Callithrix jacchus: one gene and its partners. The protein of the gene in region 3 interacts with the protein of the main gene of each other region in a pairwise test. Links are inferred from orthologs where the notes say so. Each region holds a gene or a part of one and is shown on either strand. Other genes may lie near its edges.

Region 1 (5,898 bases), on a different chromosome or scaffold from region 3:
GGGGCGCGGAGCATGCTTGAGCCCAGGTCTTGGGACGACAGTAGGCCCCTCTGTGTACTCATTGGTGTTTCGGATGGCTCTGATCTGATCCAGAGACAAGACATGTACTTGCTGGGTGAGGGTGTCTCTAGGGTCGGGCTCTCCACGCTGTCTGCCACCGTCACGGGGCGTCTGCAGCAAGGGCTGCGACCCGTTGCCACTCTGAGCTCTGGCCTCCATCAGGTTTTGGAAGTGTGGTCACTCCAGCAGGCTTAGAACACATCTGAACTCCTGAGGAAGCCAAGAGGAAAGAACGGTTTATACTCTAAGATCCTTCCCACTCTCCGCCCACCTGAATTCACTCCTCACTTCCCACTTTCCCTAGAGAAACAGGATTTGAAATGGAATGACAGTGGGGAGGTATTAGCCATATGATCAATGACGCATGTACCCAAGTGAAAATTATGGCTGGCTACTGACAATTCTGTAATCCCGTGATGTACAACAACACAAAGCTGATCTTTGTTTTAGTCACTTAAGTAAGAATTCCTTATTCAAATAAACATACAGTTTGCAAGGTTCAGGTTCAATGTAAAAATCGCAAGAAAGTTTTGCTGGAATATAACACTGCTACCAACGTTTTCAGAAGTTGAAAATTCTTTCAAAATGTGAAATAGGTTTCCATTTCTCATGGTCGTTTCGCCTTAAGCATTAATAATGTAGCCTAGAAGATTCTTGGTTGTTAGCTTTTGCTTTTACAGCAAACACTTTATGACTTATCCGGTATTCTGTAACTTTTTCAAACCCAATAGAATGGATATGGCATGCAGAAAAGCAAAATGCCCATCAAGAACAATTATAAATTTTACAATAATCATGCTTTTTTTTATTAATTGTACTGTAGCACAAAGTTAGAGAACAAAAAGCAAATCAAATCCTATTGGGTGCCAGAAACACGTTAAAGCAAACTTACGCAATAAACAAGAAGACAATAATTTATTTTCAATTTCTTAACCATTTGAGAATTAAGTATTTTACATTCTGTTAGCCTAGAACACCACCTTGGATTCTGCAGCTGAAAGGTTGTTCTCCCTGATTTAGAAATAAAGCATGTCAAAAGCTCAACTAATTTTCTCTTTTCAAAAAAATTAACTGAGAACACAAACGAAGTCATAATAACCAGAAAAGTGTTTTAAAAATTCAAATGTCACATTTCACACCCAGCATTGTCAAGGAATTCCTTAAATTGCAGTCCCTCTTAAATTTCAAACGGATCACCCCCTTTCTCAAGCCTATATGACAATAAAAAGTATAAAACATGCAAAAGTGGACCTTTATCCAATCTCCGCTCTTTAGAATAGAGACCACAGCGAACAAGCCAGGTGACAAACGTCTCCCAGTTCGGAGCAAGGCAGAACTGGAAACCGGATCTCCTCACCTCCAAAGAATGGCAGAAGACAACCCTGCCCTATGCTTTCACTTAGTTTAACGCCTCTCTGCGCCCCAACACCGTCCCCAGCAGGTGGGACACAGCCGATCTCCAGGGGACGTTTCTCCAGGAGGACTGACGCTGTCCAAGGGCCAGGGTGCCCCCCCCTCCTCTTACGATCCCCAGACTCACAGACAGGCGGGGGCCGCGGGCGCCTCCGAAGGGGACGTGTCACGAAATGCAGGAGCACACTTCCCCCGCCTCCTTCTCCCCAGCTAAGATCTCCCCCAACTCGAGAACTGCTTTCCAGCCCCAAGGAGCCGCTGCGCCCCCAGGCAGAGGTCACGCCGCCCACTGCCAGGCTTTCTGCAAAGCCCCTCGGAAATCCGGCACAGGTTTCCCACCCCGACACCGCAAGCTCCAAAGCCCTGCCTGAGACAAGCAGCCGGGACGCGCAAGTCCAACCCACGCACACACAGCGACTCCACGCTGCACTGACCTAAGTGGACATTGCCTGTGATCTGCACACGCCTATCTCCTTTCGGGTCGAGAGAGAGAGAAAAAAAAATATCATTATTTCTTAAAGTGAAAGAAAATTTGCTTTTTTAAAAAAGGGCATTTTCCAGGGCCCCACTGCTCACTCCGGGCGTGCAGGATCCAGCTCCCCGAGCTGTAACTTTCGGTGCAGATTTGCTTGCAGTCAAAGTAGCATCTTTGGAATAAAAGGAGGCTTTTCTAGTTTTATTTTTAAGTGATTTCTGCCGATCCGATCCCTGGCCTCCTCCTTCGAAGCTCCACTCCCCACCTCCGCCCCTCTTCTCTTTCCCAGTCCCCCCTCCCCTTTGAAAGTGCTTTGAAACCCCCATTAAGAACAGTGTGTGATCAGACTAAGGATTAGGGGGAACGAACTTCAGCTCTAGGGTGGGGCAAACGGACACAGAAACTGCTTTGTAAAAAACACACAAGATTCCAAATTAAAACACAGCAACAACAAAAGGAAATACAAAACTGCCTCTTTTGCCACCTACTTTCAGGTAATGGAAATGATAGCGACCATTTGATGACTTTCTTCCTGCGCTGGGTCAGACCGAGCTTCCAAAAATAAAATAAGTGTGACCCTGGCTGACCACGAAGGACGGAAAAGAGAGAGAGCTGCACTTCCGAACCGCAGAGACCCGGCGCCAGGCAGGGCAACGCTCCCACCCGCTCCGGGCTAGACCGTCCACACGGAGCAGAGGCGGGGACTCCCTCCACCCGGCAGCCTGCCTTTTTCTCACCCTCAGGGTCTCCTGCCCCCGAGGTGAGCAACCTGCGTCCCCCAGTCCCACCGGCGCACCGCCTAGGGACAGCCTCACCCCGGACTTTGCCTTCCACTGAGAAGAGGAACAGGTTAGAAATGCGGGCGCCTGCAAAGGCGACCCGGGAAACACAAAGTGCTTTTCTCTCCCTCTCCCGCTCTCAGCGCCGAATTCGCGGCCAGTGCACGGCTGGGAGCGGGCTTCAGGCGAGCGGTCCTCAGTCCCAACCCCCTAGAGCGGGGGCGCGCGGGATCGCCCGCCGGGGACCCTGCACCCGGTGCATACACAAGTCCCCGCAGAGGCAGGCCGAGCCCGAGCCCCAGGACAGGTCCGCGGGTAATGCCCCGGACCCTCAGGGAGACCCTGCGGGACTTGAGAAAGGGAGGCTCGGGGACACACGGACCCAACTCCCGGTCCGGCTGCACCTACTCCATGTTGCCCAAAACGCGCCGGCTACGGCGCCAGGAGGGGAAGAGCCAAACGTGCCTCACCGTGATCGCGGCTTTGCACCAACCCCTCTCCCTTGGATTCTCTTTTTTTCTACGATGTGCAAATAAATCCAGTCTCGATGCAAACTTTTTTCCTTTCTTTCCAATCTGCTTCAGTCCAACTTCCGAGCCATCGGCGGGAGAAGAAAAAATAGAGGACAATTCGGAGCCAAATTCCCTGCTGATGAACACTCCGGGGTTCGGGGCTGGAGACGACCCCCCTTCTAGAAGCGCACGCGGAGTATTTCCTCTTTTTTCTCAATGAACAAGAGGCCGAAGCGCCAACGGCAAGTCCTTTTTCCTAGCAGATGAGCGAATGGGAAAAGAAAACGGCCTCACAGAGAACCTAAAGCCAGATCGCCAAGTGGTGCGGCCGGGGCCGCGTCGTAGCGGAGACAGCGCGGGGGCGCGGGCCGGGCCGGGCGGGCGCGGGGGCCTGGGCGCTGCGCGCTCCGCCGGCCCCTCTCCTCCGCTAGCGCTGCGGCGCGCAGCTCTCGGCGGTGCAGACTGGGCGTTGTGGAGGCGAGGCAGCAAGGCCGAGGCGGGGGCGGTGGGTGCGGAGGAGGAGGAGGAGGAAGAGGAGGAGGAGGAGGAGGGTCTGGGGCCCGGCCGGGGGGGGCTCGCCGTTGGCCTGCGCCCTCGCCTTTCCGGAGGAGGCAGGGAGCGCTGCGGCGGCCGCGGCAGCAGTAAATGGCGTCATGTGGATCCGAGGCGGAACAGAGCAGTTGTTGTCCCAGAGGATATATCGCATCCGGTCCCAGCTCATTGGCTCCGCGGGGCTACATTCACTCACACTCCAGCGCCCGCCAGCGCTCCGAGCCGCAGGAGGCATTCAAAAGGGCAACCGCGCCGCCCCGCGTGTCCCCAGGCCGGTTCTGCCGCCCGGGCACCGTCACGCGGGGCGCCCGGGGGGCCAGGCTGGGCACGGCAGGGTCAGTTTATCTAGTTTCAAGGAAACACTGACCTTAAGGTTTCCCCAGAGGCACCGAGGACGAGCCCGAGGCTCGAGCTAACTTAGGGAACTTTCTCTTTGGCACCAGGAAAGGAGAATGAATATTTAAGACTAATCCAGGCCACGCAGTGTTAGCATGAAAAACAAGTTGCAGGTTCTAAGACTTTATCTGGAATCCATTTCAAGTCTACCTCTCCCCATTTCTGTTCCCCTTTGCGGATGGGGTGAACCCGACTGAGGCCGGAGGAGCAGAAGGGGGAGGGGAAGGGGAGCGGGAAGTGAGGTGGGAGGGCTATTGGTTTATTCTTTGTCTACTGGATTAACCCGATTATACACCAGGCACCAGCACAAACCGCCTCCCCCACCTCCGAGCCTTGTACAGGAGGAACGGAATGCAGATTCGAGTTTCAAGTACCTTCTGCTCTTGCTGGGATTTGCTTTTGATTGTGTCGACTCGTAGTTTTTCCGTTTATTAGAATTTCATTTTTAAGGGGGGTTATCTATGTGTGGAGGCTTGTTGAGGAGTTTCCTTACTGTTTTGCTTCATGCAAAGCTAAAGTTTACCGTCTAAGCCTTTTAACTTAATTCATTAATAGACACAAACATGATTACTCAGGGCGACAGCATCGGCTTCCGAAATGGGGGGGCGGGGGGGGTGAGGGAAGGGTTGGCTCACTGTTTCCCTACAAATTTCCTCCTTCCCTTAACTAGAAGTCATCCTTCGTTTCCCACTTTTCTTGCAAGATCCTGTTGTCAGGTTGAAGGTGTAGTATTCTTTCCCACTTAAAAAAGATAGAAAAATGCATACCTATGCACTGCCCTACCTGCTGTTCATTTGCTGAGAAACGTGTCTGCACGTGGGAGCACCAGTGGAAAATTAAAACTCGCGCATACACACGCCTAATATTTCATTCTATCGAACCACTTACAGAATGCTTTTACTTTACAGGGAAGTACCTGCTTGTACGGTCAAAACTCCCGAATAGCACCTGAGATCTTGCCCCATGCAGGGTGTTTTTGAAAGCAGTGTTAGGAAAACATGGTGCTTTCATTCGCCCAGCTTTAACCCAATCCACTCGCAGCCACCCTGGAACTAGCCGCCGCCTTGTGAGCTCGTCTCTAGAATGTCTCCAGCGCGCTCTCTGCCTCGCTGCGCTCTCACCCTGCCTTCTCCATGTTTCTCTAGGGCTCTCCTCTTTCTCCAGGGATTTGGAACCAGAGATGGCAAGGGACGTAGCATGCGTTATTTCCGGGCGCTGGCCTAAGTCCCCCGACCCCTGGGGTGAGGGTGGGAGAGGCTACTACGGTCTGCTCCGGGGCGTCCTCGGGCTGCGGGCGCAGGACAGCTGGGCCTCTCCAGCCACAGCCGCTCGCCAGACGCCCGAATCCTTTGAGCCGCCAGTGAACGCGGGCGCCGAGGCGCTCGCGGCCCATACGGTCAGCAGGGGGCGTCCGCCCGGCGCAGGGCGGAGGCTGCTTTCTTCTCCCGGACTCGACGCGCGCCAGCTGGGTTACCTTCCAAAACGTGCGTGCGTTAGACAGGCTGGTTTAAAATGATACAGAGATATTCATAATATAAACGACGCAAAAGGTAGCTTTCCCTCCTGTCTGCTCGGACACATTCCATTTTGGACGCGAGATGAGGCGCCTGGGTTGGGAAGTACCCAAGCTTTTACCAACGGGAAGGAGCTGAGGGTCAAAGCCGGGTGGTGCAAGGCTGGGCGGGAACGCGCTGCCGGTGCGCTGCCAGCA
Region 2 (5,850 bases), on a different chromosome or scaffold from region 3:
CCATTTGTTGACCATGGTACTACTTATGCTAATTAGAATTGAATTGCTGTAATTTAAAGGGAAATTAAAAAGTACATTTTTCCAACTCTGGCTTTAATGTAGCAATTTACTAAGCACGTGGTATGAAAAGTTAATATTCAATAAATACGGAGGGTAACGCATACCTTAAATTCCTCCAAGATTTTGTAATTTTTCCCGTGATATTCACAGAAGTTTTTTACTTCTTTGCACTCAGGACAGCATCCATTGTGTTCCACTTTAGTACATTTTGGGTGAATTTTAGGGCATTCTGGTTGGTCGCAAACAGGTCCATCTAAAGCACAGACACATGGACAGTTGGAATGCCCGGGGAAAAATCGTTCTCCCAACTTGTATACAAAGCCGCTGTCATCGACACACCCTTTCCCTCGATAGTCATCAAAGATCAGATTGTCATTACTGGAGATCTGGTCACCTTCATCAGCAGGATAGTCTTCATGACTGATAGCAGCAGATGTGACCAATCCAGGGATTACCAACAGAAGTATGTAAGCTTCATGAATATGAAGAGCCATCCCCCTCTTCAAAGACTTCTGGATGTGCTCCTAATATTAAATATACTCAGCTTCTTCCATGAGAATACAAGAGGGGTAGGCTGAAAATAAATGTTTAAAAAAAATAATTTGACATATATAAAGTGAAGATAGATTCATTTAAGTCCATGCCCCTAAACTGTTTGGGATCAATTGGAAGACACTAAGACTTCAAATAGACTAAGTTCATGCAACTATCTATGCCTTACTGTGAAGTTTAGAGAGTTGATACTTGGCAATATATGCATTAAAATTTGTCCTTTTGGATTATTTTATATGGGAAACTTCAGCTTGAATTTTCCTTCTGAATTTCAAACATCTGGCTTTGTCAAGATTGCAAAGAAATGGTTTTACTGAGCCCTAAAAGGTGATTACAAGGAGTAACTTACAAATAGCTCAAGAATATTTGAACTCACATTTTCTGTTATTCTTTAAACTGGACTAGTCAGTGATGGAACATATATTGTAATCATCTGTATCAACTCAAGAGATTAGTGAAAAAAAATCAAATTCTAAAATGAAAGGAATAAACCAGCAGTTGAATGTAAATTGTAATTAGGATGAAGCTACTATAAAGGGTTTTTTATTTATGCCCATAATGGGAGAACAACGATGGTATCAACATCAGTTGCCTATTTCAGTGAACATGAATCTGGATTTTTGAAATATTGTTAATAACAAAAACAGCATGACTATTCCATAGCGATCAAGAGAAAAAAAACTTGAAATAATGAGATAAAATAATACAAGAGAAAATTTGAAATAGAGATAAAATAATACAAGAGAATTCTATGTGCTTAAAAGAAATTGTTAAAAACAAATGTATTTGTATTCTTGTCCACATTATTTTACATAGGAAGTAAGCTCCTTGTGGACAGGAGAGATCTATCTATACATTTATTTCACAGTAACTTAAATCTAGTGGATACATAGTATTATTTAAACATTTCAATATAATATAGTTACAATTTTTGAGTTCTTGAAAACATAACTCTTGAAATGTCAAAAATATTTGCTTGTAGGCCATTTGCACAAAGATGTCAGCTTAAAACTTTATGGAAGTTGCTTAAAACAGTAATTATTAACGATTCATAGAAAATATGACTTATTAATTTCGTGACACTGACTCTTGTAAATACCACTTAGTACTGGTACTTGATGTGAAGTGTTGGGAGTGGGCTCTTATTTAAATATTTAGAATGACTAGCTCACACAGAGGCTCTGGGAAAACTGTGACTTTAGGGAGTAATAAATAAGAAAAATTGTTGTCAAATAGCTTATTCATTTATTTAAATGTGATTGGCTTCATGCCAATGTTACTAAGATTGTATATAGGACATTTTCAGGTCAGTTATAAATGTTATCTATTGGTTCATCTTCAGATTATATTAAGAGCAATGAAAACCATCTCTTTTCACTTTAACATATACAGATGATAATTTAAAATACTATAAAGTGATATTAGGAAACTTCATAAACATATTATATTTGCATTTTAAGGTAAATATGCAAATTCTAGTAATAGTAAAATGGAAGGTAGTATGCTCTCTTTTCAGAGAAAGCTGATATTAGAATTCCTCTGATATCCTCTGATATTAGAATTCCCTTTGAGTAGGCAATAATAAAGCAGATGATTTCTTATAAAATATGTCAAAAATAATGAGTCATGACAGAACAAGAAAATGCAAACCTATAATTCTACTTGAGAATCTGGAAGCTCCCTTTGACAAAGCATTTTTTTCCTCTCAAATTACTACAGATATAACAAACATAACAGAAGCTTCTGAAAAAGCATAAATATAATTTACTAATTAAAGCAAGCATTTGTACATCACATATTTACAAAGTTTACCTTAGAGGAAAAGAAAGCTGCTGTGCTTCCTTATAATATTCTAGCAGTATCTGTCAATACATGCAAGATAAGCCATATAAAATACACATACGATTCTGCTTCAAAGGGACATAGACAGAAAATGATCTCTTTGTAAGCCACAGGTAGGCATTAATGTGTTAGGTTATGGTAAATGTAAACTTAGAGGTAAAATAGGAATGTAATATCTACTTCATATAAACATTAAATATGTTTTTATTATGTGAAATATATCTTAAAATCTGCATGGTAAAAAACAAGCTTTTATTTTCAATAAAACAAAGTTCTTAGGCTATTTTTTAAAAGGCTTCTTCATAATTGAGCTGCCCTACTACAATTTAAGACACTATTTATTTAAGAGAAGAAACATTGGAGAAATCAAATATAATGTGTATCTGAAGATGTTTAATAAGAAAGCAAACATTGCTAAACTGAGGATCACTTCCCATCTTAACTTTCCCCCCCTCCCCATATTGCTACATATGATTTAAAATGACTGCATCTATTTCTTTGAGAAAACAAACATAACTCATGTCGTAAGATACACTTACCTAATCACTCTGGAGGTTAATGGTGGAGGTAGGGGTCACAGCCCAAAATGAACTAAAAGGTCAGGTATGTTTTAGGAAAGCAGTTCTTCTTTAATTACCCAAAGAATACATTTTTAGGCATGAATTAAAGGCAATCCATTCTCTCTACCTCCCATTTCAAAACACAGTAAAGAAGCAGTCTCCCGCCCTTCCAGAAAGAAACACAGCAGACACACATAAGAAATTTGCTTTGGACTGGTCTTCAGAATTCAAAGAAAGAAGCAATGCTGGTCCTGTAGAAATCCAGACCCCAGTAGCAGAATCATGTTGAACTTATTTTTAGCATTTTCTTAGATCCTTCTATGAAATTTCCCGGCTGATTACGCCTCCTCCACACATGAGTTCACTTACACAGTGTTTGCTACGGCAGTAGAGGTGATTTGGCTAGGCTCTGAGGATCACAAACAGCAACAGCATGCTATAGCTTAAAGCCCACTCCGCTGGCAGTACCATCACCATCGTTCACAGTATGTTGCTTGAATCCCCTATTACACGCCGGAACATACTAACTGTGGACGTGAAGGAAAGGAGCAACTTTAGCTGGGTTTCTGCATCACTGAGAGCAGTTTGCAGATTGCTGATTTGGAGCTCATTCTGCCGGCAGCCGGGAATTCCTCAGCACCACGGACAGCGCCAACAACTGGCTTCTGAGCCCAGCTCTGTCGAAATCCCCGAGCTGCTTTAGACGAGGCTAGAGTGCTCTCCAAGCAGTCGCACTTTATACAGCGGATGCGTGCATCAGGAGTGGTAAAGGCATTCTATGTGCGAGATACTTATTTGCATTGAAATTACAAATAAAAAATTTTTTTTTCTAAAAAATTGTAATTATACCTAACGCATTCTTGGATGGGCTGCAGAGATGAAAGTTCCGGAAAAGGCTTGCATTTAGATTTAAGCTATCTGCAGTCCCTGATTATTATTAATAGATAAAGCATAATCATTGTCAAAGAATCTGTAAAAACGTACGCTCGTCGATTCTATTTGACCCTTTGGTAGCAGAAAGACTTGCCCGGTGCTGCATGATTAAACTTCAGTTCTTCCTGCAGCTTGGATCTGATTTTAAAAGAAAAAAAAAGTAGCAGGTTTTCCTGCAGTTTGTTCTCTAACATTAAAAATCAATCTCCTGTAATTCATCTAGTCTGTCATTAGGCGTCATTGTAAAGCTGTTTCTTTCAAAACCCCTAGCAAAGACGTGTCTCTAAATTCTGATCAAAACGAGAGAGAAAAAAGACCCCGACACAAATGAGTGAGCATAAAGTTATTTTTTTATTAGTAACAGTCTGAGCACTAAAATATATGTCCAAAGCACGTTTTAAAGCAAACTGTAAATGTTACCTGCTGGCACATTTAACCAGTTATTTACTGGTTTGGGACTACAGGAGGCATTTTCAAGCCTTAAAGGGAATACCCTCCGCAGCGGGATATGCTGACGGTCAAGACCACGTTCGAACTGTGCCATCAGATCCTCCAGAAAACAGAATCTCCCCGTCGTGAGAAAACACAACCGTGTGCGCCTCTCTTTCGTGGCCCAGCAATTTGTGAATCTGCCCAGATTTAAGATCTAGCAAATGGATAACACCATTGCCACTCGCCTGAGCTAAAACTCGACCTGAGAGAGACAGACAGACAGGAGAAAGAGAATGAATCAAAGTTTTATTTCAAGCGTTTACAATTTATAAGCAATGAAGCATTCTATTTTCTTTCAATTATCATTCTGTGTTAGATGTCAGTTATTAAATATAAAGTAGCTCCTGTAGGTATAAGAAATAAATTGAGCCAAAATCAAGACGCATCAATCATTAGATTATAACATTTTTGAATTGGGACATAAAGCCTAATGCTCTTTCTCCTTTATATGCAGAGTTCCTCAAATGTCCTACTATTCTTTTTTATTTGTGACTAATAAAGCATTTTGAGGATATGATTTTGAAAGCAACTATGCAAAGCAACATTCTTTTTCAAATAAATTATATGTTTAAAAGTTTTAAAAGGCATAGCTTTAAAAACTTATGGAAAACATATATCTGTATCTATATGAATAATTTATATTTTAAAATTTGTATTCTTCTTTAAACTTATTTTTTAAATTGTTAGTCATTACTTGCAACTTAATAATATACATTCCTGCTTTAAAAATTGTGATACTCATGCACTCAACAAATATTTTTTTTTTTTTTTGTAGCTGAAGTGGAAATAAATACTTCCATTTAAAAAGGACTTGGGAGGTTTTACTATAGCTTAGAATTCAAATTTTGTTAATTTTGTTTCTAAAAAAAAATACAGCACAGTATATTTGCATAATTTTTGTACCATATATTTCATAATGACTCATTTCCTCAAAGTGAAAACAAATCAGGGATCCAATTTTAATTAATGTTTTTATTAAGGACATCTAGTAAGAAACTATCATGGGATTTGGAGGTAAGTAAAAGCAATAGAATGTGTTTGCGTAAGCTCAGTACTTAGTGTAAATAAGTATGACATTAGTACTATCCATGGGACTAATCATACTTAGAAGGCATATTATTGTTTCAGTAATAATATTTAAAATTTATTAAACTCTTTTAATGTGATAGATACCATATTTAGTACTTGATATGGATAATTCCATATGATCCTTATAATAGTCTAATGATAAATAGTATTAACTCCTCTATGTAGGTGAAGAGACAGAGGCTTAGAAAGGTGAACTGATGACACCCTAGGTATAGAAGGAGCTAGCATTTAATCACAGCACTTTGAATCCAGAGCCTGGGCTTTTAAGCCATTATGTTTTCCACAACCAGCAGAGCATTGTTATCAGTGATGCCTTCTTGAC
Region 3 (5,739 bases):
GGTAGGGGCCTGCGCAAGCCTAAGGTGTGTCCCCGCCTGGGTTAGCGCTGCGCTATGCGCTGTTTCTTTTCCTCTTAAAGCTTCTTTCTCACTCACTCTTTCCCTCTTTCTCTCTCTCATTTTTTCCCATTTCTCTCGTTCTTTTATTCAGCTTTCTCTCTTTATCTCCCTTTTGTGAATGGGCCGTGGTTTCTTTGTTCTGGAGAGAAGCGCCCGTGTCGCTGACTTTTGTGAACCAGAGAAGGATCTTGTAAAACCTCCTTTTCTCCTTCGTACGCCCCCACTCCCACTCCTCCTCCCCTGCCCCCTTGATTAGATGTTCCCTCATCGTAAAAAAAAAAAATGTAATTTCGTTGGTCTGGCGGCCACTTTCTTTGAACATTAGCTCGCTTTCAGCTCCAACTTCAATTAGAAGGAGTTGATTTTGAGAGATCAACAAAAGAACCGACCAAAGCCTTATTAAAGGTCCTAAGAAGATCTCCCGGGCCCTTTGAGAAGCAGTTAAGGAAACAGTGTGCCCTCCATCATATTCTGTTACCGTATTTTATTCGGACTCCAAAGGAAAGTGTCGCTTGGGGGAGGGGGAAGCACTTTGATGAGCGGCGGCCGCGGCCCCTTTTCACTCAGCGGGCTCCCCTTTCCTTCTCCTCCTTCTCGCCCAGCGCCCGGTCTGCTCTCGGCGCCCGACCCCGCGGCCCGGGCTGCGCGGGTGCTCCCCACTGCGATGCGCCTGGAGGCTCCTTGACTCGCCTTCACACTTACTCCTTTGCAAACTTTTTACTACTCCTGTCGGGGTGAGGGAGTAGGAGATTAGAAACAAGGGGTAGAAATTCCTCGAAAGGTAATAAAGTGCCTAATTTTCAGGAGGAGGTGCCATTTAAAAGATTCGCCTTACTCGGAGTTGGGACGAAAACACTTTTTTTGCACTTTGAAAAGTCCACCCAGGTAGACGCGTTTGGGAAGTTTGTTCGGCTAGGAAATGGGCTTCACATATACGAACAATCCGGGGAAATCGCCTCAAGGAGGCTCCTTACGCAGCATGTGGAAAAAAAGTTGAGGGCAGGGGTCTGTGGCCACATTTTTCATCTAAAAGTCCCTGTTAGAGGGAGACTAGGAAAGACAGAGTGTGAAAAAGAAAGTTTCCTAGCAAAATGTTTGAATTAAGAAATAGGGTGTGTGTGTGAGGGGAAGAGGACGCTGGGTTCCAATGTTTCAGAAGAAGCGCTTAAGACTTGTAAACACCCTTGGTGGGGACTGGGAACCCCGGGAGAGGCCGACGAGCAGGTAAGTGGCGGCGCCCTTCCAGTGGGTGCTCTTCTCAGGCGCGGGAGTCCCGAGGCGCCGAAGAGAGATCTGCGCGCCCGGAGCTGCTCCCGCGCTCTGCAAAGTAGCCTGTGCTGGCACGAGCCGCCCGCGGCGTCGGTCTCAGGTGGCGGCGCAGAGGAAGGAAACGTTGGGGCCCGCGGCGCCGGGAGAGGGGCAGACGCCCGGGCTCTTCTAGTCCGCCGCCCCCGAGTCCTGGCGCCCACATCCGGGCGGCAGAGCCTGGTAGTGCCTCGGAGAGCGAAGGAACCGGTTCTCCAGCACCTCGCGCTCTCCGAGCCACTCCCTCCAGAGCGCCTAAAGCGCGAGAGAAGGGCCGGGGGGCCCAGGGCAGGCTTGGGGACCCGCGGTCCCCTCAGCGGCCAGGACTCCGGCTCTCCGCTCGCCTTCCTCGGCTAGCTCTGCGCCGCTTTTGCCAGCCGAGTTAGCGCGCGACCGGGGCGGGGCGGGCGGGCGGGCGGGGAAGGCGGGGAGTGGGGGGCGGGGGAGGGCGGGGGCGCGCGGAGGTAACCCCCGGCTCGCGCTGCCATTGCCCGGCTCCCTGTCACTCAGCCCGCGCGGGGCCCCCGATTGGCGGCCTAGCCCCGTTACGCACTCGCCTCGCGTTCACATACCCGGGGAGGGCAGTAGAAAGGTGATCAATCTTCATCAGGCTACATTTCCAATCACCTAAACAACCGAGCAAGACAAGCCACTCCGACAAGGTAAATCGCTTGATTTATTTAGTTTGCAAAGTGACTGTGCAGGACTTCCCAGTCCCCACTGCCTCCACGTTGTATCGGGAGTGCCGCGGCAACGCCGAGCCACCTCCCAACTCTGCCACTCGAATTACCCCCCTTGCGGCCCCTCGGCGCGATTCCCGGTCAGGCAATGTCCTGAGAACGCGTGGGGCTTAGCAAACAAAGTGTCTGTGCAATAAAGTGAAACCCTTAGGGACACGCACAAAGCCACTGGAAAAAAAGATAGACGTGGGAGGAAAGAAGTTGAGAAAAGAAAGAAACCGGGGGTCCTAGACCAGCCGCCGGGGTAATTCCTGTGCCGCTCTGTTTTGCAGGTTGGCTGCCCGGCGGGTCTCTGTGAGGGATCCAGGTAGATGGTGAACGGCCCCGGCAGCTGAGGGCAGGTAAGGAGAAAGCCGCGGGGCCACCCGGGACTCCGGGAGCGCGTTGGTTACCCTTACCTCCCCCTCCTCAAATGGATCCTCGCTTCCCGGAGCCCCAGCAGGTGGGCGGGGCTGGGGGAGCGGCCTGACTCCCCTCTGGGTGCGCGGAGGACCCCGGGGCGCTGTCGCGGCCCGCCGCCCCCTCCCCCGCCTCCTCCGAAGTAACCGAGCTGAAGTGCTAAGTTTGGAGAAAGTCTTTGAAAACTCAGGCTGCAGCCTCGCAGAGCCGTCGCAGCTTTGAGTCCCATTTTCCTTTGGCCTAAGAGCCCTGGCTGCTTCCCTTCTCGTTCCCTCCCTACAAGCTGGACTCCTCCTCTGGCCTTGGGTCCGAGAGGACGGGGGCAGGAACGGGGCTGGGGGGAGCTTCTTTAACTCCAACTTCTCTCCCTAAACGTCCTAACCCGAGTCCCTGGCCTGCTTCACAGCGATCCCGCAAAGCGGGGTGTAGCGACGGCCCCCTAGAACCCCAGGCCCACTTTCCAGTGCCCCTCCCTGACCCTTGAGAGTGGCGCCTGGGTTCTCGGCAGCAGCGGGGGCAAGGCTTCGACCTCCCAGCTCGGGTCTGCGTGGGCTCTGCCGCTGAGGCCTAGTTCTCTGTTCTCAACAGTGTCCTGGGGCCTCGGGTTCAGCTACTAGGATGGCAGCATGCAACTTGCTGCCCTCTGGCTTCGCAAATCTCAGAGACCCTTTAAGGTGCTGGGCCCCAGCCTTCACCCCCTGCTGGGACCATGTGGTCAGAAGCCCAGACTGGGCAGAGAGAAGGACGGGTGCGCGCTGGCAACGAAGGGCGATGGCCGCAGCTGAGGCGCTCCTGACCTCAGGCCGCGTCTTGGGATCGCCCCCTCTACAGTGTTCCCTTCAGCGTCCTCTGGCCCTCTGCGGCCTGGGCCCGTTGCTGCGGTTGAAGTGTGGTGTGATTCCGCGTCAGCGATTTTTCAGTGGTTGGGCATAGAGAAGTTAGCTGGAATGGTTATTGTGGGCTCTGGGGCAGGGACGCAGCCCTGGACGCGTTAGAAGAAACCAAGTGTCTAGGTGCATAAGAGGTTGAGGTGCAGTTAGTCCTCCACATTGCCTCACCTTGGCCCTTCATAGTCTCTACCTTTTCAAAAACACTGAAACAAAACGAAACAACCCTGCATGCTCTGGGCGCCCTGCCCCGGGCACCAAGTGAACTTTTGTTTGTGCAACATGAAGCCGGCTTCTGCCGGACTCAGAATTTTGCCTGGACTTGGGAGGTTGTACATTCTGTGTTTCCAGCTCTACCTCCCAGCCTGGCCCTGCTTTTAACTTCTTACTCTATGGACTCCCTACCAGTATCTTTGGCCCATTCCGAGCCTAGAGCTAGAGGACCTAGAAAACTTTACTTTTCAAAGCAACTGTGGTTTCTGGGCTAAGTCCTTGTGGAGGCTAGTTGACCACCCTGCGGAGTTCTGTAACCTGCCTTCCCTGTCTATCCCCGGACAAGACTTGAAAGCCAAGTGCCTCCGACTGATGGTTTCCGTGTGTATCGTGTCTCCATAGGCCAGGCCCCCAGACGCATCAGAGCCTGAAGGACTGCGCAGTGGGAGCCCTGCACCGCTCCTGGCCCCGGGCCCCCTGGATCTGTCGGGGCGCCTCCACCCAGCTGTTAGCATGATGTCTTACCTCAAACAACCCCCATACGGCATGAATGGGCTGGGCCTGGCCGGGCCTGCCATGGACCTTCTGCACCCCTCCGTGGGCTATCCGGGTGAGCACCGGCCTTCCGGCCCCTGCCCAAGACTCTCAAATGTTGGGGACCCTCAGACTGTTGGGTTTGAGTGTAAGCTTTGTTGCCGAGCAGGCCCAGGGAGCCGATTGCCTAATCTGTTTACAGTACAGGGCCCACTGTCGGCGCACTGAGCAGACTCGTGGGCGCATGAGGTGGCCAGGGCTGAGAAAACGCCCAACGTGCGCCTTCCCGGCCGGGTCACCGACAACCTTTCTCCTGTTGTGGTCCCATCGCCAGCGCAGAGCGCATTTACCCGCGGATTTGCTAGTAAGGGGCGGCTGATGATTTTCCTTTTCTCCCAACATGGAATGAGTAATCTGGACACTCGTTAGGCCCTGACCGAAGGAGCCAAACTTTCCTTATGTGAAACGGCAGGTGGACTGAAAAAGGAAGATTCTTTCTCTCGAATTAAATTGTCCTCTAAATCAATGTCCTGCACCCATTTTTGCACTGCTGTAGAGGACGACTTGAGTCAAACCCCGGTTTCTTTTTTAGCTCCCACTCGTTTACACCATTTATTTTCTCTGAAAGTGTTTTTCATCTTTCCTACATGAAAGGTGCCTACATCTTTCTCACTCCCTGTCCCCCAGCCAGTGTGTGTGTGTGTGTGTGTGTGTGTGTGTGTGTGTGTGTGTGTACAGGGGAGGGGGGAAAAACTTTTCTTACTTTTTCAACCTCTGGGAGGCAGGGAGAGACGCAGCCCTCGAATCTTGGAGACACTGGCTCCTAGTCGCACATAAGCACTTTCTCCCACCTGTGGCCTCTCAGGCTCGGCCGCCGGAGGGAGTTTCTTTTATTCCCAGTTCGGCTTCTCTTGAGAAGGCCGAGCTATGAACCTGCCAGGGGCTTCCCAGAGTTCACTATCCCTGGTCCGCGTGGCCACCAATGACCCGCGGCGCCCCCGCCTGTCCCCACAGCCACTCCGCGGAAGCAGCGGCGGGAGCGCACCACCTTCACGCGTTCACAGCTGGACGTGCTCGAGGCGCTCTTCGCCAAGACTCGCTACCCTGACATCTTCATGCGGGAGGAGGTGGCCCTCAAGATCAACCTGCCGGAGTCCAGAGTCCAGGTCCGCACTCCCCAGGCTCCAGGGTCTGGGTAGGGGCGCTGTGGCTGCTCGGGGAAGGTCTCGGAAGGCTCCTGGGGAGTTCTGAAGGAGACCGGCCTGCAGGGGTGGGCTGACAGACTGGGCAGCCCCTCTCGGACTCCCCCTAGCGCTGGGCCCCAGCCAGGAAAGGGGGCAAAAGTTAAGGGAAATGGCTTAGAGCCCTAGATTCCGCCCTTAGCCCTAGGACGCCTTAGGTATTGGTATTGAAAGTCCTTTTTAGAATTGCAGGAGGACCAGGGAGGCTCCCGAAAGTAAAGCACCCTGCGGGCCTGACACTTGCCCCTGCTTCTTCGCCTGACCCAGGACTTGGCAGTTTCCCTCAGAGGCCTGAATTCTGCCTCTGCTCTTGGGTTGCACCCTGGGAATCCTAGAAATGAAAGAACGGAGACTGGCCAG

What was found.
Region 1: the proteins of OTX1 (region 3) and SPRY2 interact in binary tests that used the Homo sapiens proteins (3 or more experiments, as listed by UniProt). The two-hybrid records come from large-scale screens. The link is inferred for Callithrix jacchus from reciprocal best matches to the Homo sapiens genes OTX1 and SPRY2.
Region 2: the proteins of OTX1 (region 3) and VWC2L interact in binary tests that used the Homo sapiens proteins (3 or more experiments, as listed by UniProt). The two-hybrid records come from large-scale screens. The link is inferred for Callithrix jacchus from reciprocal best matches to the Homo sapiens genes OTX1 and VWC2L.

Annotation. Positions count from the first base shown.
Region 1 is NC_133502.1:34,887,271-34,893,168, reverse strand, and holds the start of SPRY2 (protein sprouty homolog 2), read right to left. Parts: upstream 3,704-5,898; 5' UTR 3,198-3,703; intron 2,915-3,197; exon of another isoform or gene 2,437-2,914; intron 2,205-2,436; exon of another isoform or gene 2,050-2,204; intron 1,947-2,049; exon of another isoform or gene 1,908-1,946; intron 1,848-1,907; exon of another isoform or gene 1,312-1,847; intron 271-1,311; 5' UTR 220-270; coding exon 1-219.
Region 2 is NC_133507.1:136,203,379-136,209,228, reverse strand, and holds the start of VWC2L (von Willebrand factor C domain-containing protein 2-like), read right to left. Parts: upstream 3,704-5,850; 5' UTR 2,994-3,703; intron 635-2,993; 5' UTR 555-634; coding exon 165-554; intron 1-164. Other genes in the region: SPAG16 (sperm-associated antigen 16 protein), read right to left, coding at 4,466-4,641.
Region 3 is NC_133515.1:51,065,403-51,071,141, reverse strand, and holds the start of OTX1 (homeobox protein OTX1), read left to right. Parts: upstream 1-1,959; 5' UTR 1,960-2,027; intron 2,028-2,377; 5' UTR 2,378-2,446; intron 2,447-4,006; 5' UTR 4,007-4,117; coding exon 4,118-4,214; intron 4,215-5,152; coding exon 5,153-5,304; intron 5,305-5,739. UniProt on the Homo sapiens protein: Probably plays a role in the development of the brain and the sense organs. Can bind to the BCD target sequence (BTS): 5'-TCTAATCCC-3'.